Pelodiscus sinensis: one gene and its partner. The protein of the gene in region 1 interacts with the protein of each later gene in a pairwise test. Links are inferred from orthologs where the notes say so. Each region holds a gene or a part of one and is shown on either strand. Other genes may lie near its edges. The genes, in order: FKBP1B and RYR2.

Region 1 (16,626 bases):
TGAGCAATGAAAGAAGAAAAGGCCTTGATTTCTTATGGAGAATCTTCTATAAAATTCATCCAGCTGGTTGCAGAATTGCAGTTGGTTGTTTCATTGACAAATTGTTTCAATAGTCTGAATCAAGTGTCAAACTCAAATAAAACCTGCGATTTGGATTGTGAAAATTAAAATACATCCTATTGTTTTAAAATAACAAGTTTAAAAAGAGAGTTTTTAAAAAGCAACCTGATAAGAATGTTAAATTAATAAAAAAATTACCTGGTAAGTGATGTGGACAAAAGGTGGCTCCAGAAAAGATGGGTATTCTAGAGATAACCTCTTTCCATTTCTAGTGAAGTCTGTTAATTCAGAAAGGTGCAGCTGTAACTCAGCAAAGCTGCCACACAATCTTTCTAGATTCCTGGATATGTGACTTGCTCCTTTTTCACTTGGCAAGTTATTATTTTTATGAGAAATAGAAGTTTCTTGAATCACATCCAGCTGCACTTTGGGAGAAGCTGGTCTGTTGGAAAACTTAGTTGGTGTCCCAAGTCCAAAGAGGGCCACTGACCGATTAATTGGCTCAGCATCCAATGTTTCCAATGCAATGGATGGGTCACCTGAGACCCTTTTTTCATCAAGGTCACTCACACTTGATGATGAGCTTCGTTCATAACTAGGACTCTTCACTTCTTCCATGAGTCTTCTCCTACCACTAGGGGATTGAATGATAGTGCTACCTGGTATTAACAGCTCTCTGCTCAAGGGTTGGTCTTCCATAGCAAGATTTTCAAAGAGCTTCCGTTTTCCAAAGGTATTCACAGAGGATTCAAAATTAGAAAGTAGATTCTGGTTGGCATCAGATGGTGCTGAAAAATCTTCAAATATTAATTCTTTGATCATTAAACGAATAATGTATCTTTCTGAACTTGAAGATGGAATGAGAGAAGGGTCAGTGAATTTCTGCTTTCCAATCAAAATCAACAAAAGTTTATCTGTGAAGAAACACAATCCTTTTGGTCTTTCACTTTTCTCCAGTTGGATTTGTTGAATATTGGGCATGCAGGAAGAGGTTACTGAATAAACCAAAACAATGTTACAAGTATTGGAGGCTACTGCCACAATTTGAGCTCTAGGGTCAAAAGCTATTATATCAGGGACGAGAATGCCTGGGATGCTGACTTTTCTGGTGGTGGTTACTTTTCTCTCAAAAGTCACCAAGATCAGGTATGAAGAGTCTTGATTATTTCCTGGGACGTAGTCTTTGCGTCTCAGAGGAATGAGAGGAATAGGATCAGATCTCTGATGGTTTGCAAGGATATGGGTTAAATCCATGGGACCTGATGAAGAAGAAGCAACTGAATCAACAGCCACTGATTTTTCTGAATCTATCGATTTTCTTCTTAAATCCATGGAATATTCCTCATCCCCAAGCACCAGAGTAGACTGTGAAGTTAAAGAACCTGTTTCAGTACCAGATGGAACATCAAATGTAATACCTGCATTTAAACCACAGATCTTATCTAAGGGAAGCTCTGTGGCTACAGCAATTTGGAAATCTAAAGTAGCTTCTATAGCACAGATATAACCTCCCACATCAAATACTGGGCAAAAGAAGCAAGCATTTAAAGTTTTCTGAGCATCATCCCATATGTAGGAATGAAGGGCACTGCCTATAGCAACCACTAAGCGATTACCATCCTTAGTCCAGCAAGCACAATGGATGAGACCACTGCTTTTGATATCCGCCTTAACCCTGGAGTGATCAGAACGAACAGCATGTAAAACTGAGGCATCGCGTTTAGTAAGCACAGCCAAAATATCCTTCTTTGGATGCCACACGCAGCCCTGGGGAAGCATTGGAAACGGCTCACCAATTTCACAGGTCTGGGAAACCAGGAGCTTTTTCTTTTCTGAAATATTACAGCTGAGCTGCCAAACAGTGACATGTTTTTTATGCTGGATAGCAAGCAGAGCTGGTGTGTCTACAGCACAACATGGGCCCCAGCAAAGCCCACGAACATGTTCAAACTGACCAATTACACTCGAGTCACCAAACTTGAGTTCTCCATGATAAAAATGTAAAGCAGTCAGTGCTACTTGCTTCCCATCTGTCCAGGCAATCCCATGCACAGGATGTATGGCCTGATACAAGGCATTAAGGCCAGTTCTCAGAAGTTTTGCTTTTCCCAGTTCCATCTTTTTAAACTTCCTGCCTAGAGATGATAGTGCCAAAATAAAAAATCCACAGGATTCATTTGAGCATCTTGATAAGGAAAATGAGTCCCTCGTAACTGACTTGTTTCTCTGTAGGTGAATCAAGCTGATTTTTTCCCTAATGAGCAAGGAGCTTGAAATGCCAACTTCTTCACACTGTGATTCTCCAGCTGCTCTTCTAAGTATAAATCCATGTGAAAAGCTGCTTTTACTATGCTTTTTCCTGGGAGGAGTTATACTCGTCATGTGATGTCTAAGAAGGTTTAGCTAATTACTGTATGCTTCACTCACATTTTCTCAGGAGCCTATTTTTAACTCTTAGATGCTGGGTGTATATTTAAAAATAACACTCTAATACCTTGACCTTCTGTGAACGAAGATCTCCTTCAATGAATGGAGGAAACAGATTCTACACTGTTAAGCCTTGGCAGTAAGCTACAGTATGAAATAATTGCCTGATATTTCTTTACAGACTTTGAAGGAAAGAGTAAGGGCCAGATTCCAATCTCAGATTCCAGTCCAATTTCAAAGATTCCTAAGGGGCTATAGCAGGGGAAGTAGGAGAGAGAAATCCTATTCAATGGTTATATGTAATGTACAAGACAGGGAGGCAAAATATAACCAACATAAACTAGAAGCAAGGACACCTGGTCTATTTGGGCCTTGTCTACTCTGAAAGATCAAGTTGAATTTATTAAAGTCACATCTCTACACTGAACTAATACAAAATCCTTTTGCAGTGACCCTCCCACAAGTGTTTCTGTGGGAAGGAGTAATATGGGTAAAAAAGTGTCTGTGCCTAAGGTAATACCCATTTAATGTGCAGTATCTTTGACTGCATGAGGTTTGCATGAGTTTTCAGAGGTTAAATTGGACACTAGAGCAGGGATAGGCAAAAGCCTGTCAGCAGGCCGGATCCGGCCTGTGTAGCTCTTTCATCCAGCCAGTGCAGCAGTTCCTGGCCCAGCCCCTAACACGCTTCCTGGGAGCCGGGATGCTCCAGCACTTTCAACTGCTTCTATTTCAAGGGCTCTTGCCTTCCCCGCGGCTGCCAGGAAATAGAAGCAATTGAAAGGGTTCACAGCTCCCATGCCTCTAGCGTGTTGCCTGGGAGCCGGGTCATGCTAGCTCTTTCAACTGCATCTATTTAAAGGGCTCACGCCTTCCCCGCAGTTGTCAGGCAACAGTCGCAGGGAAGGAGTGAGCCCTTTACATAGTAGCAGTCGAAATGGCTCTCATGTCCGCAGCTACCAGGCAACGTGCTAGCAGCAAGGGGCTGGGAGCAGCATGCTCTTTAAATAGCAGGAATTAAAAGGGCTCACAGCTCCTGCCCCCGCTAAAGTGATGCCTGGGAGCCGCAGGGGAGGTTCAAGCCCTTTCAACTCCTGCTATTTAAAGGCCCCGCCCCTTGCACCCAAAGCCCCGCCCATTCCAGGGCAGCTGCAACTGCTTCAAAATTTTTGAAGCATCCCCCCCCTTCACAAATTATTGCCCACCCCTGCTCTAGAAGGTGCCTGAACAGCTGTGTGCATACAGTAGAATTGAAAATGATAAAGGACAAATAATTGAAAAGGCAACAGAGTTTAAAGCAAATGCATTTCTTAGTTTATGCCAAGTTCTATATTCATGCAGTGTATAACTGAAAGTATGACACAGTGCAGTGCAACCCATCCTAGTTTCCTTTTTCAGCAAGGAAAATAAAAAGCAGAAGTAAAGAGACAATTTCTCCTAATTTATTCTGTGTACATTTCTATAACTAGAACAAGTGTTTAATTTTTTTTATGTGAATATGGCATGCATTGATCTCTACAGGACACATACAACATAGACTTGTAATTTGGAATGGTCATGGTAGCACCATAGATTTTCTTTAAATTCTGCATTCTTGCAGCAGCAACCTTAATAAGCAGTTGCTAAGTTAAGGCCACTCTAGTGTAATACAAAATGTGAAGACGACTGTCCAGCTCTTGCATGAATATCGAGCCAGATTCTGGTCTCATTAATACCATTGTAACTTCTCATTTACATTGGTGTAACTGTGATCAGAACATAACCCCTTATTTAGAACATGTTTTGAATTCCACTAACTCAGCAGGTTTATTATCTCATACAATGCTGTGCACTGTAAACCCACCCTTATGAAATACCGAGTACCTTACCCATTCAATGACAGTATCGCATAGGATTAGACTTCATTTCTTTATTTACTCATGGTGAAACAGAGAATAAAGCAATAAATCTTTGTTGGCCAAATCCTGCTCCAAACTTATTAAATGAAGAATAAATCTCCCATTGACTTCAACAGGAGCAGGAACCAGTCCCATCTGGAATATAAGCTTAACAATAACAGATTCTCCAATGTTAACCTAAATGTATAAAATGGCTAATACAATGTGATATTTTTAATTTCCAAATATACTACTTTTGAAAGCAACCCACTTCATTTTAAATAATTGTAGTTGATGTGTCATTTATTGAAATAAAGTTAAGAATCTTGAGTAGCTTTCTTTAATGCTTGCATTTCTATGCCTTTCAGAAAGTGTCTATCTTTAAAAATAGCCTGGCTGTCATAATCTCACTGAAACAGAGTGTGAAAGTGATGCACAATTAATAAAGATACATAATAAGTAACCTGTCAGAGCAGATCTACTGGTAACAATATGTACATCATATCCCTTTAAGGGTTATTTCTCTTTGCAATTATTGCTCTCTTGACTAGACCTCACCCACCTTGCTGACAGGAAGATTTTGTGTGTGGATAGCAAATTAGAGTGAAACTTATTGCCATTTTAAAAAATGAAAGTGTTTCTTTTGTTTTCTCTTACTTTCAAATGTTACATAACTGTGGGGTTTCCCTATCCAGGTTATATCTATCTGAAGGAACATATACTCCAAGTTAAAACTCAGTTCCCTTCCAGCTTTTCTCTCAGATAGGAGATGCAATATGTTTCTTCCTGGAAATTTTTTAGAGTGGTGGCTTCAACCCATTTCCCAACCTTTACTTCCCTGCAATCTCAGGAAAGCCACCAGCAACAAAGAATGTCAGCACAGAGGTTTTTCCGTCATACCTCTTGCTCTTTGCTACACAAAGACAGTATGGCTCTGGCAGGAAACAGGCTGTCAGCAGCTCCCTGGGCCATTCCTGTTGTGTGCGGTTCTGTGTATGGAGGGAAATTCTGCACAAGTTATAGTAGGACAATTCCACAACTGTGCAAGAACCTGCCAGTCCACCTACACTCTCCATAGCCAACCTGTAGAGGCAGAACATCATGGAGTACCTGAAGGGATCTCCACAGGACTGGGGAGAAGAGGACTAAGCCATAGAGAAGGTACTTCTTTTCCCACACCCAGCAGTGAACCTGGGCTCAGACTCTCTGGCTATGTCTACAAAGCATGGTTCCCCCTTTACTAACTTCTTCCCAACCAGGGATTGCCCTATCCAATCACTCTCCCAACTAAAGCTATGTCTAGACTACTCTGCTGCATACAGGGAACGCATCTGCTCTTTTTTTTTTTTTTTTTTTTTTGGAAGAGCAGATGTGCTTTTTTGGAGGCCCTGTCTTCCTCCTTCCACGAGGAAGAAGAGCTTTTCCAAAAGAGGAGTGTAGATGGGTCATATTTCGAAAAAGCCTCTTCTGAAAAACTGTGTGTACCTTTTTCTGATAGATCATTGTAGTCTAGACATAGCCTAACAGACCCCCATTCATTTCCTCCCTCACCATATATCATTCCCCAGCCCTCCCTCTTGGAAACACCAAGCAAATTGTCCAATGAGTACTCCATACTTTCCTTTGACAATAAAACTTCTCCACCCATCACAGGAAGGAACATTTGCTGAGGGTGATCTGTATTCAGACGTGGAATAGTCTCTTAAGGCATATGGTGGGATTCTACTGCTTGGAACAGTTAAAATTGGACTGGGCAGAGGCCTACTAGGAAACATATTTTGGGAAGAATCCTGTTTTGGCAAAGAAAGAGGTTTGAATGATCTAATGGATCTTCTCCTTCTCTGACTCATCATTCATTGGCCAAATTATTCCTGATTTTAGTGATTGACTCTCACTTAGGTTGTTATTAATAAAAAAAAATTCTAACTTTTTGTTGGCTTTGAGTAAGAATGGAAATTTACTTACTGTGAAGTCATTGAACACACCACATTATCAAATAATTAGAGGCATTTTGCATTGCTAAATGTTCTTTGTTACAGTTTTCACGCTCAGTTAGATCACTCTCATTTGAAAATCCATTGTGACTTGTAAAAGAGAGAAGAGGTTAATGACATTTCTAGCAGAATAATTATACCGTTTTGATGACAAACAGTTACTGAACTTTCTAAACATCACTTAGACAACCTTGTCTTCACTGTAACCATTTACATTTGGAAAATTATTTACTGTTAGCAGGGTGCATGCACAAATTTAAATTTTACTGCTTTTGGAGGGCACATTTTGTGGCCCCTTGGCAATCCCAGGGCTGGAGGAGCTATCAGGTCCCACTTTGGCTATGGGGCCATATGATCTTGCTCTCCCCACCATGGCCCTGGGGCCAGAAAAGTTCTGTGCTCCCACTGATTATTAGAGGATCCACACTCCTGCTTGTCCCCCTTCTGCACACCTAATTGTTGGCAAGGCGTGTCAGACACTGGGACATGACCAAGTAGGTGTTGAAAACAGTTTGGCTGATAGTGCAGATAGGACAAAACCCATTATAGAAATTGAGGAAGATGGCAAGTTCCATCAGGAATGAAGAAGATGTTTTGTCTCTGTCTGTTCTAGCAGTTAAACCATATTCAATACTGGCTGAGAACTGTCTGAGGAATCCAGGATCCATTTTCAACCAGTCATTTTCCCAGTGTAGTGAATAGAAGAGAAGGGTGTTTAAAATATGCTTTGGTTTCTGTAGCAAGTGATGACCAAACCTGAGATTCTGTGTACAGTTTTAGGGAAATCTTCCACCACTGTATGGGTATTTTCTCTCTGGTGTTAGCAATAGTGGGAGTAATCATGTAGCCTGGATGCCTGTATTTTTGCCATTATTCCATTTAGACTTGCTCCATGCATGGCAAATGATATTAAAAATGGCCAATCTATTCTCATACTTCTGCTGTCATCGATAGAGCCATTGATAGAGCCATCATCCCACTGATACAGCAATAGTAAGAGATTTTTCAGATAAATCTCAGTATAGATACATTCTGACTATATTTTGCTGCATAGGACTGTGACTTTGGGAAATGTGGATATCATTCATTTTCCCTTTTAACTTTCAGGCTCCGTTCCACAGAGGGATCATACTATTAATACTGAAATACTGCTGTAAGTTAGTGCACATAATTTTTTTTAGTAGAGCACACTGAAAAAGCATCATCACACTGCATCATGTACTTGGGCTGGTGCGGCGCAGTGCACAATGGATATGCGAAACTGTCGTGGGTTGGAGTGGCCACCCACTGATCCGAAGGGAGAAAACGCCCCTCCCTGAGCCATGGTGGGCTCACTTGGATGACTCACCTTGGAGGAAGCCGAGGTTGGGGCCAGGGATATAAAAGGCCTTCCCGCAAGGCCAGTTGGGGACCTGCCAGCGAGGGAGTCAGAAGCCTTCTCTCTCCAGCCAGCAAGGGAGCCAGAGGCCTGCTCGTCCCAGACAGCTGGGGAGCCAGAAGCCTGCTTAGCTCAACCCAACCCAGCAAGGAACCGGACCTGGGGAAAGCATATGGCTGGCCAGGGCCACCGGGCGCCCTCCTGGAGGATTACCTGGAGGGCCTGCGTATCTGGCTGGAGGACTCCAACCCGTGCTGTCCTGAAGACCTGCCCCAACTAAAGGTACCATATGGGGGAGGGGACAAACAGAGCCGGCCCAGGGATAGCCAACCGTGGTCTGGCTGAAGGTCAGCAGGCTGCGGCGTGGACCCCCGCTGACCCTGACATAACAGGTCAGTGTGTTTTGGGCCGGGATCCCTGCTGACCCAGCAGCTGACTGCTTGACTGCTGTTAGGGCTCTGGGCTGGGACGCACTGGTGCAGGGAGAGCCCGCGTCCCCCTTACCACTGCTTGATTGGGTGGCAGTCTCCCCTCCTGCGGTTGGCAGCCCTAGGCAAGGTGCCTGAACCCCTCCTGAACAAGGAGGCAGACTACTTACCAGCACCTACTGGTTGTGAACCGGTGGGATTGCTTTGTGTGAAGCCCTTGCCCTGCCCAAGGGCTGGGCCTCTAGCCATTTAATTGTTGCCTGTTTAACTGTGCTAGCCTCCCCTGTGTTTGGGCTGGCTTCCTAACTGGTTAATGACTGTAGACCCGCCCTGCACTAGGGCCAGAGACTGCTTGGCTATAGCAGTGTCGCCCTGGACCAGGACCGGGCTACAGACTACTAGATTGCTGCAGCCCTGCCTTGCCCTGCCCTTGGGTGGGCCCATAAACTGCAAGAGCAGTAGCTCCGCTTAGAACTGGGGCTCAGACTGGAACTGTGGGTAGTGGGTTGGAGTAGCCACCCACTGACCCTGAGGGGGACACCCCTCATTATCTGGGGCGTACCCCACCGGGCTACAGAAACCATGAATACTGAATCCTCAAATAGCGAGGGCTCCTTGTAATACCTATAGGCAACATCAGAACCCCTATGGAAATATTATTGACCCTTGGGGACTGTTTTGACAGATATATACCGATTAAGATAAACTACAAAGACAGATGTCAAATGTCAGACCTGTACAGACTGGACGCAGAGGGACACACTTCCTCCTATTAAAAAACAAAAAAGATCAGACCATTTCCCACAACCAAAGAGAATTGTCAGCAAAATTATTCCCTAAGGCTACGTCTGCACAGCAGACTTCTTGCGCAAGAGCACGTCCACACCTCAAAGCTCATCACAAAAGTGATGGATGCTCCATGGACACTCTTGTGCAAGAAAGCTCTGATGGCCACTCAGAGAATGGCCATCAGAGCACCTGTGCTTTTTCCCATAGGGGTTTCTGGCGCCAGTTATTTTGCGCAATAGCCATAGCACAAAAGGGAGTTATGCCTCATAGAAGGAGGTTTACCTACACCGGCAAAAGTCCTCTGTTCTGCCATTTTACTGCTGATTTACTTGAGCAAAAATGCATTTGAGGTGTGGACGCTCCGCAGGTTTTTGTGCAAAATCAGCCATTTTTGCACAAAAACCTCGCAGTGTAGACATAGCCTAAGAGTTGATGGAAATAGATTCATACAGATTCTCGTAGGAGGAAAGACGTTTGAGACACAAATATCTGAAATATGTGTGTCTTACACTGTATTACAACTTTTAATCCAACATGATGGGAACAATTAACCATTAAAAGCAGCTTTTCTTTAATTAATTAATTAATAGATATTGTAGTGCATATTTCGCCCCCCCCCCCCCCCCCAACAAGGAAGTATAAACACTTCTACGGCATGCAGCCTAGAGATGTGGGAAGCATCATTCCAATCTAGCCTTTGTGCTGTAAGGATTCCAGGCCTTGCTCTCCCTGTCGCTCCCCCTGTCTCCAGAAGCCCCTGGGCACATGTGGCACATCTCACAAGCATAACTGATGGAGTTGGGAGCAGCTCAAACTCCACCGCCCGTGAGAGGACACAGAAGTGAATTAGAAGCAGTGGGCAGTGGGGACACAATGGTGACACAGACGCTCATTAGCAGGAAGAGAGCTGGCGCTTGTTGTACCACACACCAAAACTGGGTCTGGTACCACTGGACTGGGGACTACTGAGCTGGTATCAGCTGCCTTGAAGGAAGCAATGCATCCTTCTGGACAGCCCGCATAGCTTACTCCCCAGCACATAGGGATGCAATTTCTGCAAAGCTATTGAAGGAGCATATGCGGTGTGAGGAAGCAGCAAGCCCTTGCTGGGAGGGAATAGCACTGAAGTGCCAAATCCTTAAATGTTTCCAGCAGCAGCAAATCCCAGCGAACTACAGCCTGAGAGGCCTGCCCCTCCTCCCCCAACTCCCAGCCCTGGGAGGGACCGGCCTTTCCTGTGCAGCAGAGAAGGGGGATTGGGTGACAGCGTAGGGAGCTCCCCCCCCGTCCCAGCTTTTGCATTGGCTGGCAGCGTGTGACGGGCAGCTGCGGTGCTCCTTGTCAGTCAGCTCGGCAGGGGAATGCATGCAGCAGAGGGTCCGTGGCGTGGGGTAGTGCCCAGCTGAGCACAGAGGGTGGCCCAAGCAGCCGCGAGAATTGCTCGGTCTCTGCCGCAGACCAGCCGTGCAATAATGGGAGTGGAAATTGAGACCATCTCCCCTGGAGACGGTAGGGACCTGCTCGCTCTCGTGAGGGGTGCTGACCGGGGTGCTCGCCGCGGCACGCGGCGCGAGCCGGAGACAATGCAGACCCAGGGCGTCGGGGGGCGGGGAGGGGAGTCAAGGGGAGCGCGGGTGCCGCCGCCTGAGAGAAATGTGAGAGGAGGGAGTCCGGTTTTTCTGGGCACCAGAAGAGGAAGGAGTCTGGGGTCCTGCAGCCCCAGGGGCTCTGGACTCCAAAGATAATCAGAGACCAGATGAAGGGGAACCTAGGGTCCAGCAGCTGAAGAAGAAATCAAAGACTGCAGGGAAAGAAGGGTGTGTGTGGGGGTGACATTCCTAGGATGGGGGGCGGGAAGCCTGAGGGTCTGGTGGGGAAAGTCTCCTGGATCAGAAGCACACGAGGAAAGGGGACCAGGTTCTCTGGGATTCATAGGCTGCGGTGTCTGCTGCTCCTTTGGTGGCAGCAGCAGAGGTAGCGAATGGTTTGGGACATTTAAATGGCATTTGCTGACAGCTGCATAAATCCAAGTGCAGGGAAGTAATTTGGTAATGAGAGCAAATGATAGTCCAGAGCACACCCCCTTAAAATGTGAGCCTTAGCACTCAGCAGCTAAAGCAAGTTCACTTCCGAAGCGCATTCTGGACCAGACATTATTGGAGCAGTAGCAGCAAGACAGTTAATTTCTGTAGAGAGAGGGTGGAAATCAACATAATAAATGATTGCTGATTAGCGTGTGTGGCTGTGGCAAAAGCTGGCATTTAACACGCACGGTAACAAAGTTTCACAGATGTATTGCCAAATCGTTTCATGAACAGTAGGCCATTTATGTCAAGAATCATTTCACACGGAAGCAGCATTTTGACCGGATCAGCTATTTTCTCCCCCATTTTAAATGTTGTTATTGCACCTGTAACACTTGTAATGGCTCCAGATTAGTGAGTGTATTAATCTTTGATTTTTATGGGCTTGGTTTTTTCAAATCAAAATAATAGCTACTCTGCTTTGGTGTTAGAGCATCTTCCCCTAACTCTTGAAGACAGATGTCATTACCAGGGATCATAGTTTTTGTGATAAAACTCCCAGAAGTTCCTGATTTAAAAAAAAACCCATTACAATCCTTGTGATTTTTTTTTCTCTGTGATTAAAATAAAATGCTGAGCTTGAGTTTCCCCTGGGGTTCCACTAGACATGTTTTTATTTTTTTTCCACAAAATGTAAAAACTATAGATTCTCTGTAGAAACACAAATGTTGCATTTTCTCACATTGTTCTGTGGCAAACAGATTTCTGGGATCTTTGATCATTACTAATATAGAGCCATACGTATCTATGTTATGGCCCAAATTCATCCTTGGCTTAACTCTGTTGGACCAACATCATTTCCCACCCCTTGCCTATGTCTCTTAACTGTCTTCTCCCTCTACTGTTGTTTAGCTGTGTGGGTCAGATTCTGCTCTCACTTGTAGTGCTGTAAATTCAGAGTAACTCCACTGTTATTCTATCGTAAGTGTTAGTGAGGGCAGAATTTAGCCTTCTCATTTTCTTAATTATCTCTAGAATGTATTGGGATATGGTGCATAAGAAAGATGCTCTTTAAAATAAAGTTATAAATGTGATTTGGCCTGGTTGCAAAGCTTAATCCAATCCAATAGATTTAAATAGTGTAATTAAAACCAAAACCAGTAAGTTCTATTGCCATCAAATCCACTCAGAAGTTGATTTGTTATAGTGACTAGTTGAAGGTCTTAACATCATTGGGCCTAATTCAGCCTTGGTATAAGATAATGTGTCTCCATGGATTTGGTGGTATTACACCAATTTATGCCAGGGTGGAATATGAGCCACTGATGACTTGTATCATACTCTTTTTTATCTCTTTCCACATTGAATGATATGGATTGTATTTGCATCATATTTGGCGGTAGGGATGTGAAAGTAGTGCTTACTGAGCTCAGGGCCCCACAGTGCTAGGCTTTCTACAGACACACAGAGTATTTTTACACTGCAGCGTCAGCATAAGCCCAGGAGTAGTTGGATTTGAATTCACAGACCCTGGCTTTGAAAGCTCAGGGTTTGAGCATCCACACTCATCCGTGACTTTTAACTTAAAAATTTTTGACCCTGGGCCCCACACCAGGGCTCCAGTACCACCAAGACAACCTAAACCTCCAAGTGGAACCAATCATATCCCAGGCTACCTAGCACACTCCTCAAATGTGTCCACTCTCTGGCTGTCTGTGGCACATCATGGGAAAACTTGACTGTCCATCCGACTTATCACAGGAAGTTGTTGCAGCCCACCAACGCATTCTGCTGATCCATCTGTTTGGTCTACATGCTCCCAACAATCGGAACCAGGAACATGGAGTCATCATTGGAAGAACTTCTCTTGCTTGCTTTTGCTCCTGTTTCAGGAACTGGGGAGAGCTTTCATGAGATGCTGGGGGACATTTTGGTGGCATTTTCTGATCCACTGAAGTCACCTGACAGAGCTAATGATGGAAGAGGAGGATGATATAGACATGGAAAACTCAAACTAGCTGATGCACCTCATGACTTTTAGTATTTCTGCTCGTGCCCTCTGCATAGACCAGTAATTCTGGAGCAGGACCACAAGCACAGACTGATAGGATCACATTGTCATGCAACTTTGAATCATAGAACTAGAAGGGACCTTGCGAAGTCCTCGAATCCAGTCCCTTGTCCTCATGGCAGGACCAAGCACTGTCTAGATTAGAGACCATCCTTGATAGATGTTTATCTAACGTGCTCTTAAATATCTCCAGAGATGGAGATTCCACTACCTCCTTAAGCAGCTTATTCCAGTGTTTAACCACCCTGACAGTTAGGAAGCTTTTCCTAATGTTCAACCTAAACCTCACTTGCTGCAATTTAAGCCCATTGCTTCATGTCCTATGATCAGTGATTCAGGAGAATAATTTTTCTCCCTCCTCCTTACAACATCCTTGTAGATTCTTGAAAGCTGCTATCATGTTTCCTCTCAGTCTTCTCTTTTCCAGACTGAAGAAACCCATTTATTTCAGTCTTCCATTATACATCATGTTTTCTAGACCTTTAATAATTTTTGTTGCACTTCTCTGGACCCTCTCCAGTTTCTCCACATCTTTCCAGAAATGTGGTACCCAAAACTGGACACAATACTCCAGTTAAGGCCTAATCAGCACAGGCTGAGTCTACACAGCAGTGTTATTTTGGAATAACATCATAGTCCGCATCCACACAGCAAGCGATTATTTAGACATAATGTCGAGCTGGAGGACTTCTTACTCCGACTCCTGTAACCCTAATTTTACGAGGAATAAGGGAAGGCAGAGGAAGAGTACTCTTTCCTGGACTTCCTGCTGTGTAGACAGTGCCAAAAACTAAAATTAGCTATTTCGACTTAAGCTACACAGTTGACGAATCTTATTTCGGCTTTATGCGTGCTGTGTAGACATGCCCACAGAGCAGAGGGGAAGAATGACTTGTCTTGCTCGCAACACTTCTGTTAATGCATCCCAGAATGATGTTTGCTTTTTTGCAATAGTTGACACGCTGTTGATTCATATTTAGCTTGAGTCTCACTATGCCCCCATATCTCTTTCTGCAGTACTTCTTCCTAGACAATCATTTCCCATTTTGTGCATATGAAACTGATTGTTCTTTCCTATGTGGAATACTTTGCATTTGTCCTTATTAAACTTTATCCTATTTACCTCAGACCATTTCTCAAATTTGTCCAGATCATTTTGAATTATAATCCTATCGTCCAAAGTACTTGCAACTGCTTCCAGCTTGGTATTATCTGCAGACTTTAAAAGTGTACTCTCTATGCCATCATCTAAATGGTTGATGAAGATATTGAACTGAACTGGTCCCAAAACTGACCCTTGTGGAATTCCGCACCATTTCCTGGTGAGTCAGTTGCCTGCTGGGAGAAAGTTCTTTCATTTTCCTTCCTTCCTTCCTTCCTTCCTTCCTTCCTTCCTTCCTTCCTTCCTTCCTTCCTTCCTTCCTTCATCCGCGTCAGTTTTTTTTTAAATATGCATTTAGTATGTCTTTGTAGGATTGCCTCTGACCAATGCAGGATTTCTGACTATACATCAGGTGAGAGTAGAGGGCTTGTTTTGGGAGGCGAGAATGTGGCATGCACATACAATGTCCAGCCCAGCAGAACTGGTGTATAAGGATCATTCCTTCAATGCAGGTGACAAGGTTTCAGTGAGCATGCTGGCTTTAATGCATCAATCTTCCCATGTGATGCAAAGGGTTTTCCGCTGGTTGGTATTCTACCTTCATGGACAGGCTGTGACACAATTCCCACCAAATGGTATTGTCATAAATGGAATTACTGTTGCTATTCTGGGGAAAACCTGCATACCCCATCTTCACCCTGATCTGTGAAACCAGATACTGACTTGAGGGCCTGTCAAAAGTAAGTTTCATAACGCTCTCAGCAGATATACAAACAATGGTGGTTGAATGTATATTTGGCTAATTGAAATCCTGCTGGCCTTGTCTAAAAATTCCAGTGTCTACATCAGCAATGGGCAACCTAGGCTAGTGAGTGGATTGCATGAGTGGCCCTCCATCTCAGCCACACAAGGCTGTCGTAACCAAGATGGTTTTCCGGGATAGGGTAGTTTTGCTAACTGCACTTGCATACCTAGATTTTGCAGCGTGTGACAATTGAATCATAGCAGCGCTTTGATTGGATGTAGAGGGAACACACGGCTCTTATAGTCAATGTTGTGTGCAATCCACACACACCTTACTTCACATGCCCTTTCTTTACATGCGTGTCACTTTAATCATACCGGTAGAAAAAAATATGCTCATGGGCTGCACTGGTCTTCATCATTGTGCCTTGCTAGGCTCTTCACAGTCTTTGTGAAGCCAAAGGGGAGCCATTTGCCCCTGCTGACTGGAATGTACTGCTGAACTGGTACACATCACCAGAAAGTGCCTGATCTCACACCTGGAACAAGGTCACTGAAATCCATAGATGGTCTGTGCTCCCGCATAAAGACTTGGCTGGACCAATGGAAGAGGGAGAACAGGACATTTATGATTGTTTTTGTACAGCAATGTTTACAGTAAATGAGGTACTGTCACATCAGGGAAAAGAAATGGGGGTGCACTGTAACTGTACACAGTAAACAGGAGTAGTATTGATGATCATGAACATTTATCTTGGATGATGTGACTGTTAATGTAATGTGTGGTGAGAGACCGTGCATTTACTATTCATTGCTGTACATAACGATATGGAGAAACTATGTTTGGCTACAACTTTTGCCCTACCCTGTGTTTATCTTTATTATTCAAAATACACATTAGAAGATGTGATGGATAAGCGCTATAAACTTTCCTAATAAAATACAAGCCCTTATTTGTAAGATACAAATAGCAATATTAGAGCATTGCCAGGCAGGCCTGTATACCAAAACAACAGTAATAAACCAACACCACAACCAAGTAATAAAACAAGTGCATCCATCAAACACTGAACAGTGCAAACAGGACCCTCAAAAAATTCCCTAATTTTGCGAGTTAACTGGCATGTTCTTTCCCTTTCTTGTGCATTTAGCTTGCACTTTTCACCGGTGCATGGCTGTGGAGGCCTGCAAGGTATGGCAGACTGCAAGGGGAAGGGTTTCATTTTAGGGTTATAGATTTGCACTGTCTAGCTGCTGTTAAGTCCCAGGTGCGTGGGCTGCACAATCATGGAATTGTCCAAGCACTCGTATGCAGTTCATGGTACTGTGGACTGGACTCAGGCCTTGGTATAGGCGCCTGCAATCTTGTGGCTGTTGGTGAAAGCAGCCACTCAAACAGGTTTTTCTGCTGTGCTCTGTCATCCTTCTTCAGCTGATGTTCCTGTTCCTGCAAGTGTTTGCTCCTATGCTGCAATTCTGTCTGGAGCATGTATACCACTGAAGTATGCAAACTTTGGTGACTCAACAGCACATCTCTGAGTGGAGTGGCTGGCCAGCTACCGAGGTGACCCTGGAAAATACATAATTCTTGAAAATATAACTGCTTATCTGGAGTGTCTGCTATGGGGAAAGTTTGCAGCTGTCAGCACCTGGGATTGGGGCAGAATTTGTGGGGATCATCAGGATGCTTCATTAGGGTCTGCCTGGAGTCTGCTTTCTCATAGCTACTGAC
Region 2 (16,369 bases), about 110 Mb from region 1:
AAAAAAATCCAATTTCAGCCACTCAATTTTTATTAGAAACTAGAAGATTTACCCAGCATTGCTCAGATCTTTAACTGAAATAATTTTTGTTTTTCTTCATTTAAATCGTCACTCTGGGGTGGAGCTGGAAACAAGCAGTTCAATATGCAGACTGTCCCTAGAGCTGAGGACAACCCCGGTCATCTGTCATCGCAGCAACTTGGGCCCAGGTGAGAAGCGCCTGTCCATGGCTGCAGCAGCAGGCATAGCTGGGGGAAGGGTGCAAGACTCTGTCTGGGGGACAGACAGACAAGTGCTCTCAAATATATAGCGAACAGCTGTTCCTTTCTCCACCCCTGTTCCCTGCTGCCCCCTTGTTCCTCCCCATGGTCATTACATAGAATAACTATTTCTGCTAGTAACCCCTCTCTTCCCATTTCATGAGAAATAATCTCATCTAGCCACATCCCATTATCCTGGAACAACCAAATCCTTAACTTGCTCTAAGTTATAAGAGAAAGCTGCATACTAAATTTGGTGGTCTTGGTTCTTACCATTTAGGACAGTGGTATGCAACTTCCTAGGGGGTCGCGGCACTTGGATCCGGCCAGCCAGGGGCTGGGCCTGGTCCTTGGTGGCCATGCAGCGCTTAGATCTGGCCAGCCGGGGCCTGGGCCCGGCAGTTGGTGGCCACGCAACACAGGGGTCATGGTTCAAACAAAGGTTGTGTACCACTGATTTAGGAGGAGTTCTTGAACAGACTCACAGACCAAGACAGACTGTCTCAAAGATACAGTAGATTATAACAAGGTTCAGTTTTAAGTGACTGCAAAGATGCTACCCCCTAAAACTCTTATTCATCCCTCACAAAACCAAATCCAAGTGACATAATTAATTCACGAAAGTCAAGCTGTATTTTAGATGCAGTTAAAAAAGGACACCACAAACTTACTTTTCTTGCCTGAGAGTTTAACCTGCTATTGTAACAAGTAACACCTAAAAACTGAAAAATTATAGAAAAAAAATCTGTACTTTATTTAACTGGTATGTTTAACATGACTGTGTCTTTAAGGTGCTGCTAGACTATTCGCTGTTTTTTAAGTTTTTCCAGTTACAGACTAACTCAGCTACCGCTCTGAAGTTTGTGACTGTGTACAGTCATTTTCAATGTTTCCCCACATTGTCAGTTTCTCCTTTTTGGCCCTGATTCAGAAAAGCACTTAAGCTAACACTTATGTCTATCCTTATGCAAAAAAAGCACCTAAAGCAGTCTTCTGTATCAGGACCTTGGTGTTTACCTTTCTTACAGTGACAGAGGGTGAGAAAACCAACTTTTTAAAAAGTGATATGACTGTGTAAAATCACGCAGTTTGGTAGGGAAACTCAGAACCTGATGTAGCACTGAAACTGCATTAATCTGAATTTACAAATTAGAGTTCTTTTAAATCCTGCAGCTTTAACTCCTATGAGCATCCTCACCTTCATCTAACAATTAACTCCATACATGGCCAATCTTAAAATGTATTTAGATATTAAAAGGAATAGAAATCCTCCTGCCTCAGGACATTAGTTAACCGACTGATGAAGGATGGAAAGCAACTTTCTTGAACCGCTTTTTGAAGCAGCCGATAAAGGCAACTCTGACAAATAGGGCAGTGGACTAGATGGATCCAGTAAGAAAATTCTAATGTTCATATCAAGTATTCAAATACTTGAACCAGTTTATTAAAAAAATTAAAGTATTTGTGCATATAGTTCACAAAAAAAGAGGGATAAATTTGTTGCGTAAGTGGTACACTACATATACAGTAGTCTATTCAAAATCAGAATTTGAGCCCATATTCAGTGTTAACCCTATAGTGCAGTATTGGAAGGAGGAAGATGGATACATTGCAATGCTAACCATGCCGTCCCTTTCATGAGATGTTGACCTGTGGTCCTTTGCATCAGTCTCAAGTGAATATCCAGAAATAACATGCTGAGAGCCATAAATGGTACTTTTAAAAATTGACAAGAGTGTTCTGGTCAATGTACTCTCAGTAAAACTACCTCAAACACACAAGGCTGGTTTTTAAAGATTTGCTGAGGGTATCTTCATGGGTGTGATTTTATACATAGTCACTGCAACTGCCAAAATCTAATTCATTATCATAAGCCACTTGAAGTTACCTGATCTATAAAAAGCACGATAGAAAAATAATTCAGTACGATTGCTTTCCACACTAGGTAGAAGTTCAACATACGTTTATTTTTCTTTTTATTATCTGGAATAATTTAGATGAAGATCTCACCTGTTCATTTTGTTTATTTTCCATGCATTTCCACTGTGATTACGGTGGAGTACCTCAGCTCAGGACAGCATTTCAGCACATAACTTAAATGAGATTTAAAGTGAAGCACATGTTTAAGTGCTGTCCTGGAAAAGAATGCTTTCCTGAATAGAGGCCAATGTGATTTTGAAATACAGAGTGTTATCTCCCTCAAATGTCATTAGGCATGTCACTCTTTTAGACTCAAACTTGAATCCTTTCCACAGTGGTCTCTCACTGTCACTATGTCAACAAGTTATTACATTTTGACCAGAGAGGTAATAAACTTCATTCATGCTTAAAAAGTTCACATAAGTCCTGCATAAGTTCACGCTTCCTGCTGAAGTACTTTTTAATCAGTCTCCCATATTTTGAAGACCTTTGTTACACTCTGACACTGGCAGATTGAGAGCTAATCTGAAGAACTATAAATTCAGGTGGGAAATGAGTAGGAACAGATTTTTTTAAAGCAACAAACTGCTAATTACCCTTGCAATAAAACAAAGAAAGGCTAAGTAAAGAGTGGAATACCAAGTGGAAAGCACAGATTCCATTCTCCAGAGAGATGACTCCATTAGATCTGGAGACAGGAGAGTTACTTAGGTTGTTACCTTTTTCTTTTAGGTATCATACTCATTACAAGCATCTTGACTTTAGCTGCCTTGCAGCCCGTTGTGAGGGATTACAGTACTGTTGGTTTAATTTCCATATGTTATAACTATGTCCCATGTACGAATTTCTGAAAGAACCACCGAGCTCAAACTTAAGAAAAAGCTACAGAAATTGACAACCCACCCAAGTCATCCCTACCACTTTTGCGAAGGGTCCTTGGAAACATTTATAACACAACACAATTACCACATACTTTAGACATATGATTGCCCCTCAACTCAGTTTACATCACAGGTTAAATCCAATTCAGGAGGTGATGGTGCTGGAAAGCCCAAAAGCATTTTTATCCCATACAAAGGATATTGTTACCTACCACCTTCTTGAAAGATTAAGACTAGATTAGTTCCATAGATAGGGAAGACCCATGGAACAGAGTTATACCTATGACAGTTTTAAAAGAATCCAGGCTAAATTTGTCAACCCTCCAGGATTGTTCTGAAGTCTCCAGGAATTAAAGATTAATCTTTTAATAAAGTTTATATCATATGATAAAGCCTCCAGAAAGTAAGTCCAACCAAAACTGACAACTCTAGTTCAGGTTTCTAACAACAGGATCGGCTTTTTCATGTCTGTATTATGGAAGGAGTCAGATTGATTGATGAAAAGATTTCCTGTTCTTCTTCCCTTGAAGTCTAAACTGAGTTAATTTCAGGTAAATTAAACATGAAATTCTTTACCAGAATTTAATCTAAATGTTATCAGCTATAGAATAGACAATTCTTTGAATATGAAGACTGACATGTGAATATTTATTTTGTACTATGCATGCTCCTTTGTTTCTTAAAAAGAAAAAGAATTAATAGAGGTGGGGCTTTCCCCCTATTAAATTCATGAAGGAAACATGCCCCCTCCCCCAAGTCTCTCACCCACGTGCATGCAATTTTAATGAAGGCAGCCAGAAAAAGAGACCTTGGGTCTGGCAGAAAATTATTTATAAAATATAAGATTACCACCAAATTGAATGTTAAACAAAATCATGAGTCTGAACACTGTCCATTCCAAGGGGTGAAATTCTTAGGGCTAAACATTTCCCTGAGGACTAACCTAATGATAAAAAAAGCAGTATTCCAGTCCAAATCTCAAGGATTCCTAAAGTAATGTTAGCATTGTTCTTCCAGCATCATAAGGAAATAAAATGTTACACCCTTCTCTTTAAAGGGGATGTATCAGATTTGTTTCAAAAGGAATCAAGAATCCACAACAGCAGCAATTTTGCAGGGAGCCATGCATGCAGCCATCTTGTCCGAAAAGGTAGCAAACAAACAAGGAAAAACAGGGAAATTACACTAAGTAGAAGAGACTGGAAAGGAAAAACAAAAATAAAGATCAATATAGGGGACAAACAAATTTTAATGGAAAAAATATACTTAGTTTTCTCTCCAAGAATTTACCTGAACATAGGAAGTATCTTACTCATCATCACATATTAGGTCCTTCATGATACATTTTATCTACCAAACCACCAATGCACACTTCTACCACCAATAACTAATTGATTAAAAATAAAGATACAGAAATTGCATTCATCATCAGTTTACAAACTAAATATTTTATCAATGCCATGCAGAAAGTATTACATATGACATATTGAGCTTGGGGAGATGAGTCCTGAATTTCAAACAATTAACTAAGACAACATTTGTGTGAAAGTTGTTTAATGTTTGGAAAACAAATTTTCCATCTCTTCTCAGAGTAATGTTCCCAGCACAGGTGTATAGGGGAGAGGAAGGGTAGATGGAGGCTTAAGACAAGTCACCATATAGAAACAATTTAAGACTGGAAATTCAAAATTTCAGAAAGAAATAAAGTGTCTACAGCCCTTTTTTTCCTATATGTCTAAATCCCTTCAACAAAAACTTTCCACTACTCCAATTTGCCACCTTCTTCAAGGTCATTTTATTACAGACCAACATTCTAAGGATTTTTAAAGGATAATCCCAGGCTGGCATTGCGAGATCTTGATTACCAGCAGGACACACCTTATCAGAAGTGGTCTTTTACATAATGAGCTGCTGCTGTTAGAGTCTGTAGTTTTTAACATTACCCTATATGTACATGGAATGACATTACATGCACATTGCTTCAGTTTCCCCTTTAAGCATTTCAGATAACACCATCTCCATGAGCTAAACTTAACATTTAAATCTTCAGTAAACCTGTAAGTGCACAACTCAACCAAAATATTTGCACTAATTTTAGCACTAGGAAACAACAGACAAATTGTGAAGCCATATCTTCTTTCTGAGACTGCAGAAATGCACAATAAAAATCTATTTGCCAGGACCGCAGTACATGTGCCATAATACTAACAAGAAAAAAATTGACAGTTTATATTCCCTTTTTTAACATTGCTTAACAATTATACTCTCGGCAGGACTGGATCTTTTGATGGATTCAAAAATATTGAAAGTAGATTATTTGTTTCAGCAATCCAGTTTAAAGCGAACAATGCAATAAAAGAAATCTCTAAACCGTCTTACACAATGCTGCAAAACAGTACAAATGTGCTCTGCCTTATACCAGCTAGATGACGCTTTTCTCCTTTTTACGCACCTTTTTCTCATTACTTGTCACAAATAAAAATGTTTTCAAAATATGGTTGTTCTAAATAAAATGAAGAATGAAGTTAAAGCTACACCATACAGTTTCAATGTCTACACATCTCCAAAGTCTACATTGCTCTCAAAACTACCTAGTTGTGTATATAGCAATATTCAAAAATACCTTTTTGCAAAACTTGCTAGAACCGTGTGTAAAAACAACACTTGCGTCAAGCAAATAAAGGCAGTAACTGACTAGAAATAGTTCAAAATGAGCATAATTGGCACTCTTAATACAGAGCCAAACTGAGAGGAGAAAAGCTTTGGCACTTCAAAATGTTCTGCATTGAAAAAGCAGAGGAAATAAAAAAAGATGTTTGTAAAAGGATGTAAGTACTAATTCATTTTCAGCCATAATGCCTACAGTTGTGAGGTTCTGGGGGTGGGGGAGAGAGAACAGGAGATATTCTTGTTTTATTAGGTTTTCATGTTGTTTTTGCAATAGGCACTTCAATTGCAGCTTTGAGGCTAAGCATTGCTGCTGGGTTAGTAGCTGCAGTGTACAGCCCAAATCAGAGGGTGGAAGGGGATCTCCGAAAGACCCGTTTTTTTCCTTGTGTGACTGTCGAGCATGTGATGCTGCCTTGCCTGGTACCGCTCGTTCTCCGACTGTCCGCCTCGCAATAGATTGCCCTGCCCCCGGGTCAATGGTGGAGTAACCCCAGCCGACCCAAAGCCGCCGCACACATTACTTTTAATTGTCACTGCATTGCTAACGCACAACCGAGAGCCATTGCTGCTCCTTGGCTTTGCACTCCCACGCAGGCACCGTGCCAGGAGCAGCCAGCCACCCAGCCCGACCCCAACGCTTCTCTCCTTCCCAGCCCCATGGACCCCGCGCAGCGGCTGCCCGGCGCTAGCCCTCAGCGCCCCCCCCCCCCCCCACACACACACCTGGATGCGCGGGGAGGGGGCGTTATGATTTTGTGCCGCGGCGCGTGTGCGCGCCTGGGAGAGCTGGCGAGCGGCTAAAGGGGGAATTCCTGGCAAGGCTCTCCCAGCCCCCTCCCTCAACTCCCGCCGGGGACAGGGGGCTTCCCCATCACCACGGCCACACGCTCCCGTCGGCGGGTTGCCCACCCCGCGCTTCAGACGCCTACAGGGCACAAGCTCCCCCCGGCGTTCCCCGCCCCCGGGCACACCAGAGACTCCCCCGCCCTTCCCACGCGCGCCAGGCACCCCCCCCCCCCCCTCCCACACACAGACACCATGTCTCGGCACGGCTCAGGGGTCCCCTGGAGCTAGTGCAAGGCGCACGCTCCCCCCGCCCCACACAGCTCTGCTCCTGCCCCCAAGCAGCCCCGGCCCCGCGGGAGGAGGGAGAGGAGCGCGCGGTGCTTACAGTCCGCAGGAACTGTATCTCGTCCTCGCCCTCGCCCCCTTCGGCCATGGCTCCCCCTCTGGCCCCGCAGCGGTGCCCGGGGCGGTGGCAGGCGCCCCCCGTGGGGCTGCAAGCTCAGGGAGAGGCTCGCGCGCGGCCCCGCGCCGGGCTGGGGGAAATGGGAGCGCCCCGTGGCTCGCAGCCTCAGCCCCGCTGTGCCGGTCTCTGTCGCTCGCTCGCTCGCTGCAGCAGCTTGACGGCGCTGCCCAATCTCCTCCGTGCCAGTGCCTGGAAGAGGAGCGATGTGATTCACTGGGCTGGGGGGTAGGAGGGGGGCGGGGCGGAGCTGCTCGGCTCCCCCGCTGCTGCAGGTGATCTGCAGCCGGCTCCCTCTGCAAAGCAAACCTGCGGCCCAGCGCCCCTTACTGGCTACTCGACAGACAGACTGTGGCTGCGCTCCCAGCCTCCCTCCGCTGCGACCGTGGCACAGTGCTCGTGTTACACACCGGGCATTGAGGGGGATGCTACAATCAGGAAGAGATGGTGGGTAAAATATTCAAATGGCCACCAGCTGCAGGTGTCCAACTTGAGACCTCCCTCCCGAGGGACCGGATTTGCAAAGGTGCTGAGGAGCTGTGAATGATCAACCCCTCTAAAAAATTAGCCCCCACCTGTCTCACCTTGCACACTCAAATCTGAAGCACCCAGAAAGAATGGCGAGTTAAGCCATAGGCACCTGTGGGTGCTTATTTACACTAGTATCAGAGGGGTAGCCGTGTTAGTCTGAATCCGCAAAAGCGAGGAGGAGTCCTGTGGCACCTTATAGACTAACTGAAGTGTAGGAGCATGCATCTGACGAAGTGGGTCTTTGCCCACGAAAGCTTATGCTCCTACACTTCAGTTAGTCTATAAGGTGCCACAGGACTCCTCGTCGCTATTTACACTAGATTTACATATTTACTTCTGAACACACAGCATATGCACAACAAGGGAGAATGCTTTGTGTGTGTACATTAGGTGTTGTAGGATTAGTGACCACCATAGTGGAGAGTTTCCATTCTAACCTGTTTTCAGCGGTTACATAACTTTTAGAAACTTTCACCTTCCAGGATGCTGTTTTAGTCTTCATCTACAATAGACACTGATTTTTATAATTACAATTAAAAATTCCTTAGCTGTTAAAATGGGAAAATAGCAAAAGAAATATTTCCCTATGATTGAAAACGTTTAAAATAATCTATCAAAATATTATAAACAGCGCTACCTACAAAATAACTGGAAAGTTTAAAAGCTTCAGAGGGGTAGCTGAGTTAGGCTGTAAAAAGAAAAATTTAGAAAACAACGAATAGTCTAGTAGCATCTTAAAGACTAACAAAATACTTAGCTGTATCATGAGCTTTCATGGGAGCAACCCACATCTTGTGCCTATGAAAGCTCATGATACCGTCTTCATGTTTTATTAGTCTTTAAGGTGCTACTAGACTATTTGTTGTTTTGGAAAGTTTAAGATGGTCTAAAATACACCTTATTTAACAAAGGTGCATTGTGATTCCAATGAGTTTTTCCAAATCACACTTACTGCATGTGCATTGAATTTAAATGATATTTAAACACACTTTAGACCAATGATAAGAATATGATTAGATTTCTTTACTACAAATCTTTAACCATGCTGTAACTAGGTCTTCTGTTTTATCTATATTGTAATTTGAGCCCTTGTCTAGCACCCCAATTCTCCAACTATATATATAAACAGCCATATTGAACTCGGGGACTACTCATATTTGTAAAGTTCCCTTCATGCGTAAATAGTTCCATGATTGGGGGCCATATACAGCCGCTCTCCGAGTTACGAACGAGTTACGGACCAAGACTTGGTCCGTAACTCGAACTGTTTGTAACTCAGCCCCCATAGAAGTTACATGGCAACTGCACTGTTTGTAAGCGCGGATCGCCATTCGTAACTCGGATCCGCATTTACGACCACTTTGGTCGTAAATGCGGATGGTTGTAAGTGGAGGTGGCCGTAAGTCGGGGAGCGGCTGTAGTACATTGTAATATATATATAATATACCTTCCTTTGCATCGTTTATGGTGAGCCTTTGAGGCAAGTGCTGCACTACTGTACATGTAATAAGAGCATTAAAAGAAAACATGGAAATTATATAAACAGTTCGCAAAATCATCAAAAGGCTGATAAGTTTTGTATAATTTCCAGCAAAACATCATTAGGAAATGTACAAAGTAGCTAACAAAAAGATTTTTCTGAATAGCTCATGAACTGTGGGAGAGATTAACTATAATTGAAAATACATCATTTTGACATTCATCAAGCAGCAATGTGCACATACACTCACAAATATGAGGGAGAGCACATTGCTCCATATGTATAACAAATGCAGTCAACACAAAAATGTATTAAGCTTGCTTAAGTGCATAAAGCATACCAACACCACAAACATATAAAAGCCAGAAATCACTAACATTCTCCACCATCATTGTTTTGTCTTCTCCATATTACCTGCCATCTCTCGCACATACAGCCCTTCTCTCATTACCAATGCACAAAATTTGCAACCTTTGACTCCAAATGAGTATTATGTTTAGAAATGTGTGGTTTCAAGTTGTTCAGAATGTTGCACTGGTGTTGTGTTGAAGATTAATGTGTAAGGTTTCAGTTAATTGTTGATGAGTTGGCTGATTAAAAGAGGGAATTATTTGCTAAGTGGAAATAACTTGTCATACTGTTAAGAAGTTAAGGGTTACAGGATTTTTCAAAATGGGGCAGTTCTGTCAAACGATTCCCGTCTTGACCTCGGGGTTTTTTCAAAAAGTGGCTTTTCGAAAAAAAAGCCGCAGCCGCCATTATGTAAATGAAGCATGGGAAATTCAAATCCCGGCTTCATTTACAATTTCGATACATCTAACTTACATCCTTTTATCAAAAAAGGGATGTAGTTTAGATGTACCCTTACTGTCATGTCTGCAGTCTATGTTGTTTTGGTGAGATAATAGAAAAGAACACACACAATATCAAACTTTGTCAGTAAATTACATTTGTGGGTGGTGTCATGGCTACCTTTTATAGAGAGAGCTAGAACACACCCACACATCTGTGTTTCTCCTACTGCTGTTAAGGGTCTTCATTCTGGGGTTTGTGAGGAGCAGCTCCAGAGGCTCTTCACAAATTGCCATCCCCATCACAGACCTGGCAGTGGGGTAGCGGCTGGAGGGGAAGCAGTTCCAGCTGTTCTTTGTCCCCCTCTTCCAGGCATGAAGGGAATTAGCTTCACTTCTGTCCTGTAAGTACAATGTTAGCTGCTCCCTCTACCCTAAAACTTCTGTTGGCTGCTATGGGGAAGAGAGCTCTATGTGTCTCCTGAAGTAGCCCTCAGACTCATAGGCTTTCAGGCCAGAAAAGATCAGCAGCAGCATCTGGTCTGCCTTCCCCCAGATTACAGGCCACACAACCTCTGCTACCCATTCGTATAATAGGCCCATAACTTCTAGCTGAGTTACTGAGGTCCTCAAATCTTGATTTAAAGACTTCAAGTTACAGATAATCCAGCATTCTAATTGGGTGCTCGGCCCTAGGTGGCAGAGAAGAGGGAAAAGCAGCCAGAAGAAAAGTGTGGAAGAGCCAGAAAAGTGTCTGGCAAGAGCTAAAAGATCTGTGAAGGCTGGAATTACTCTTGTCATCCCCAGACTGGCTCCAGCAGAAGCCCAAAAAGCCCATTAGTGGTGATAAAATCAAAAGAATGGCAATGCTATTTATAGATGGCGGCTGAAGATGAGGTGATGTAGCAAAAGCAAACTCCTGGCTGTCAGTTGGAGTGAGGAGTTAAGTAGTGAGGTTTCTGACTTTTAATGCTTATGGGGATGGCTTTTTAAAAAGTTTGTTTGTTTGATTATATTTCTCCACTGTCGCTACAGCTGTCAAGTTTTCAACAAAACATTATTTTGTGGAAAACATTCTGCTAACAAAAGATATAAATTTTACTTGAAAATACAGTTGTTAAAAAATGGAATTTAAACTGAAAAACTAAAAACCAGAATAACATTTTTTTTCTTTTTAGCACCTCCAAGCAGTTTTTGTTTCTTAAAGAAAAAAAAACAGAAAAAAATATCAGTTTTGGATTTTGGAGTTGCTGGGAGTTTGGGGGGGCGGGAGATTTGTTTGGGTTTTTTAACAAAAATCCGAAAGATTAAACAAAATTCAACAAATGTGGGGAAGAAATAAATTCCTTTTAGTAAACATGTTTCTTAGAAAAAGTAATTTCCTGACCAGCTCTAGTCTACGTCAATGCTGACAGCTACCAACACGGATAGCTATCAGAGTGGAGGATTTGAAATCTGCTATATACAGCTCTATTCCTCATACTAGACCATCTCCACAACAGCACTTTCCCCATGTCCTGCCTCAAAACTGATTTTGCCACCTCATACATGACCCATGGCCCTCAACTGGCCCTTTATAGCCCTGTTGTTGGTGTTTTCTATTATCACCCTTTCTACAACATTTTCTCTCTCTTTCTCCCAACGTTCCCAGTCAATACCGTGCCATCCTATTCTCCTCTTACATTCAGACATTAACATGCATCACCAACATTAATACACGTCAGGGGGGTAACTGTGTTAGTTGGTAACTTAAAAAATAACAAGTAGTCCTGTAGCACCTTAAAATCCGACAATGTGTATCATTATTGAAAAGCTGAAAATGTGGTAGGGAGTCAGATCTCTCCAACTGAAATTCTCCTTTTCCAAATCACAGCAAGTTTCCTGAAGGGAGAAAGTGGCTCTGGAACAGAGCTGCTGCCTTTACTCCTGAAGCAATTCAGCTGCAAGACTTCTACTGTTCTGCCCCCCTCTTCTACAACTTGAGCAAGAAAAGGAGCAACAGTGTATGAAATACTTCCTGATGCTGGTACCTTGATACACTGGGGGTGTGTCTACACTGTACCCTTAGCTCAAAATAAGCTACACAATTTAAGCTACACAAATTGTGTACTTTATTTTGAGTTAATTTTGGAATAGTGCCAAATTACGAAATAAACTGCTATTCTGAAACATCCCTTAATCCTCGTGGAATGAGATTTACAGGGTCGTCAGAATAACGAGCCTGTTCTATTTCGAAATAATGGGCTTGTTCCAAAGACGAGGAATATTTCCACAGTGTAGATATATCCTGAGGCAGCAGAACTATAGATAGCCCTCAGTATGCCAACACTTGAAAAACAGGCCCGTGCTCCAAACAGCAGCTGTTTTGTGTGCTAAACAGCCAAGACCACAGCACCCAGGTAGTGGTGTCTGTTGAGATGCATCAGTGTGGATGGAAGCCCAACATACCATTTGTATATGTTGTTAAATGTGCAATGTGGCCAAGTTAACTTTACTATCAGAACCATAACACTTTCATTTATAGGATTTTGAACATATGATTTTATAACCTTAATGTTGTATTAACATAAGTCTTTTGAATGCGTGTATAGCGATGTAGATCTCTCTAAAACAAATGTCCCAGTGCAGAGGAGCCACCAAAGTTTCTACCTACACTATTGGCCATAGGCATTGTGCCGACCCTGTTGACAGTACATCCGAAAATATGTTCTCAAGTTTTTTCTTCTTTATTCCTGTCTCTACTGGAATAATCTACTATATTCACCCAATAAAATATAAATATTTTCATTTTCTCCCCCCAAAATGGTAAAATAACTCTAGGGTGGGGTTATAAGATTATCTATAAATAATCCTGATGCAGCCAAACACACACACATAGGCTACGTCTACACTGGCCACAATTTCCGGAAAAGCCATGCAAATCAGGTAAGTCAGGATAGGGAAATCCGCGGGGGATTTAAATATCCCCCGCGGATTTAAATAAACATGTCTCCAGTGATGGAGATTCCACAACCTCCCTAGGCAATTTATTCCAGTGTTTAACCACCCTGACAGTTAGGAAGTTTTTCCTAATGCCCAACCTAAACCTCCCTTGCTATAAGTTAAGCCCATTGCTTCTTGTCCTATCATCCTTACTACTGAAACTAATACAAGCCTGAAAAATGCTTATGTTACAATGGGTACCTGATTTGTTCTTTTTAGTTATATGTGTGTTTACACCTGTATTAATTTTTCATAGTCTTAGAAGGAAGGAATCAATCACCATGGGACCATACAAATAGACACAGTCCAAACCTTCTCACACTGTGTTGTCAACATATCTCACAGCTGACTGACTGACAACAGTTCTGATAAATCCTGAGCAGAGAACCAGTTAAGTTGAATTGTGTAAGACAGTGAGGGGTTGTTTCTCTGCTCACTTAAATCATTACAAATAAGAAGTATCTCCTCTGAAGTCAATGGAGTGTAAAATCTGTGCCACTAAGATCACAATCAGACCCTGGCTGTTTTGTACCTATGGAAAATTGGTGACTAGGGAATGAGGGGAAAAAATTCATTTCCAAACATTTAAAATAGGATTTCATTTTGGATTAGACTAGGGATGATTAGATACCCAGAGCCAAAAGCCAAAACTCTGACCTGTTTACCCAGTCAGAGTTAATAATGTATTGCATTTTGTTTAGTTAGTGAAGCATTGTATTTGTTTAGTTATAAAGCATTTGTTTAGTTATAAAGCATTGTATAATAATATTATACCACTGTTTAAATGTTATGTGTACAGGTGCAAGGCTCCAGGTGTACAATACATACACACAAGTATATGTATTTTACTATGTTATCTTTACAATAAAATGTAGAGTGAGGTTCTTTTCTTTTTATATGGGGACTCAGAGGTTAACTCACCCAAAAGCAAAGTAGTATGGAATTAAGATAGAAAATACACTCATAGCTCACTGCTCTACATCTAATAACAGGAAACAACATCAAGTATTGTGTGTTGTACTATGTGTGGCAGTGGGATAGAGGGATCCTTGCCTTGCGAGCTACAATGTTGATTGTACCTGGGGCAGGGTGTGAAACTCTGCAATTGATGTGGACAGACTGGTGAAATGAAGATGGACACATGGGCTGTGTCTACACTGGCATGAAATTCCGGAACTGCTTAAAACGTTTTCAGTTTTTCCGGAAAAGGAGTGTCTACATTGGCAGGCTGCTTTTCCGGAAAAGCCCTTTTTCCAGAAAAGCGTCTGTGGCCAATGTAGACGCGCTTTTCTGGAAAAGACTACTGGGCTGTCTACACTGGCCCTTTTCCGGAACAGTGTTCCGGAATAAGGACTTATACCCGAGCGGGAGCAGAATAGTTTTTCCGGAATAGCAGCTGATTTTGTACAGTAGAGCATCGTTGCTTTTCCGGAAATTCAAGGGCCAGTGTAGACAGCTCGCAGCTTATTCCAGAAAAGCGGCTGATTTTCCGGAATAAGTGGCCCAGTGTAGACACAGGCTGTGTCTACACTGCATCCCTTTTCCGGAAAAGGGATGCAGATTAGACAAGTCGGAATTGCAAATGCAGCGAGGGATTTAAATATCCCCCGCTGCATTTGCATGAAGATGGCTGCCGCTTTTTTCCGGCTCAGGGCTTTGCCGGAGAAAAGCGCCAGTCTAGACGGGATCTTTCGGAAAATAAAGCCTTTTCTGAAAGGTCCCTTATTCCTGATTTTAAGAGGAATATTTAAGAGGAATAAGGGGATATTTAAATCCCCCGCTGCATTTGCAATTCCGACTTGTCTAATCTGCATCCCTTTTCCGGAAGAGGGGTGCAGTGTAAACACAGCCTAGGGGTATGTCTAGACTACATACCTCTGCCGACGGAGGCATGTAAATTAGACATACCGACATAGTCAATGAAGTGGGGATTTTAATATCCCCTGCTTCATTAGAATAAAAATGGCCGCTGCCTTCTGCCGGCTCAGCTGTTTGTCGGCACAAACTGGCTGTCAAGACGGGGATCGGTCGACGAGGAAAGCCTTTGCCGACAGATCCTGTAAACCTCGTTTCATGAGGCATAAGGGATCGGTCGGCAAAGGCTTTCCTTGTTGACCGATCCCCGTCTTGACTGCCGGTTTGTGCTGACTAACAGCTGAGCCGGTACAACGCGGCGGCCATTTTTATTCTAATGGGGGATATTAAAATCCCCGCTTCATTGAACTATGTTGGTATGTCTAATTTACTTACCTCCGTTGGCAGAGGCATGTAGTCTAGACATATCCTAGGGGTATAATTAGGACAATGAAATAAGAACAACAAATACGTATTACATATATCAAATGTAAAGCCATAACTCCTGGACTGCAGGCTAGGGCCTGTAAAATTTCAGTTTAGCCACATTTGATTACTGTCTTAAGGCGACTTGACATGAGTGGGTGACTTATGCCAATAAACCCTACGATTACTGCAAATGTTATGCCAATAGGAGATGTTACAGAAAAATACAGTGCAATGTACCAATGGAAAGCTAGTGACCTGGCCGCCTGGGGAGGATAGCCCCCAACTTCTTCTTCTTCCCCTTGTGCCCCCTCTTCCAATCCTTTCCAAGTGTCATAGCCTCTGGTGTAAAATAAAACCTCAGTGTATAGAGCCTGGTTTTCAAAGACTATTTAAAACCACTTTGGAAGTATAATTTCACATTCTCTCAGCCACACACCAATATAGGTCTACAACTGGAAACACACACACACACACTAAATGACAGGAGCCTTACATAAAAGACCCGGGCTACCTAGCTTTACAACTGCCATCCATAAATAATGAGGAAAACAAGTCTATCCAATGAATATTAATTATCTGGTTACAGTAAAACCCATTACCTAATGCTCCTGGCCCTGTTTATGAACAAATTAAGGTAAGAGGAGTTGACATTTCTGAACCTCTCAGTTACAGCTAATGCTCATTTCTTAATGCTCACATACATTTCCAAGGCATGTAAGTACTAGTTTAAATGCCCTACCTCATCCAGTAGGGGGCAAGTGTTTTGGTTTTTTTGGAAGACATGGGGGATCCAGACACATACCAAGACCTTTAAGAAATCTGTCTGTAGCAACCTGTCACTTCCAGCTACATCATTCTTTAGAAACATGTATCTAAATCAGGGGTGGGCAAAAGGGCCTCTGTAGGCTGGATCCGGCCTGCCAAGCAGGAGGATCCAGCCCGTGGAGGCCCTGTTGCTCCCCTGCCCCCAGACCAATTAAAGCCTGGGGGCTAGGGAGCATGCAAAGCCTTCTCCGCTCTGCCCCCGCCCTGCAAGCATCACGTGGCTCTTCAAAGCACAGCGTGCTCCTAGCAGGACAGGAGGTGGCTTCTTGTGCTCCCCTTGCCCCCAGGCCAAATAAGGCATAAAGCCTCCTCCCGCCCTGCCAGGAGCACGTGGCGCTTTGAAGCACCGTATGCTGTTCACAGGGCAGGGGGGAGAGCAGAGTAGGCTTTGCACGCTCCCCCCCCCCCCATGTGTTAACTGGCCTAGGGACAGGGGAGCAAGGGAAGTCTCCTTCCATGCCAGGGGCATGGGCTCTTTGGGGGATCATGGGCTGAGGGCA

Evidence for each region.
Region 2: the proteins of FKBP1B (region 1) and RYR2 interact in binary tests that used the Homo sapiens proteins (3 or more experiments, as listed by UniProt). The link is inferred for Pelodiscus sinensis from reciprocal best matches to the Homo sapiens genes FKBP1B and RYR2.

The regions. Positions count from the first base shown.
Region 1 is NC_134713.1:14,534,477-14,551,102, reverse strand, and holds the start of FKBP1B (peptidyl-prolyl cis-trans isomerase FKBP1B), read left to right. Parts: upstream 1-10,227; 5' UTR 10,228-10,425; coding exon 10,426-10,462; intron 10,463-16,626. Other genes in the region: WDCP (WD repeat and coiled-coil-containing protein), read right to left, coding at 259-2,178. UniProt on the Homo sapiens protein: Has the potential to contribute to the immunosuppressive and toxic effects of FK506 and rapamycin. PPIases accelerate the folding of proteins. It catalyzes the cis-trans isomerization of proline imidic peptide bonds in oligopeptides.
Region 2 is NC_134713.1:127,593,968-127,610,336, reverse strand, and holds the start of RYR2 (ryanodine receptor 2), read right to left. Parts: upstream 7,508-16,369; 5' UTR 7,287-7,507; intron 7,170-7,286; 5' UTR 6,951-7,169; coding exon 6,903-6,950; intron 1-6,902. UniProt on the Homo sapiens protein: Cytosolic calcium-activated calcium channel that mediates the release of Ca(2+) from the sarcoplasmic reticulum into the cytosol and thereby plays a key role in triggering cardiac muscle contraction. Aberrant channel activation can lead to cardiac arrhythmia.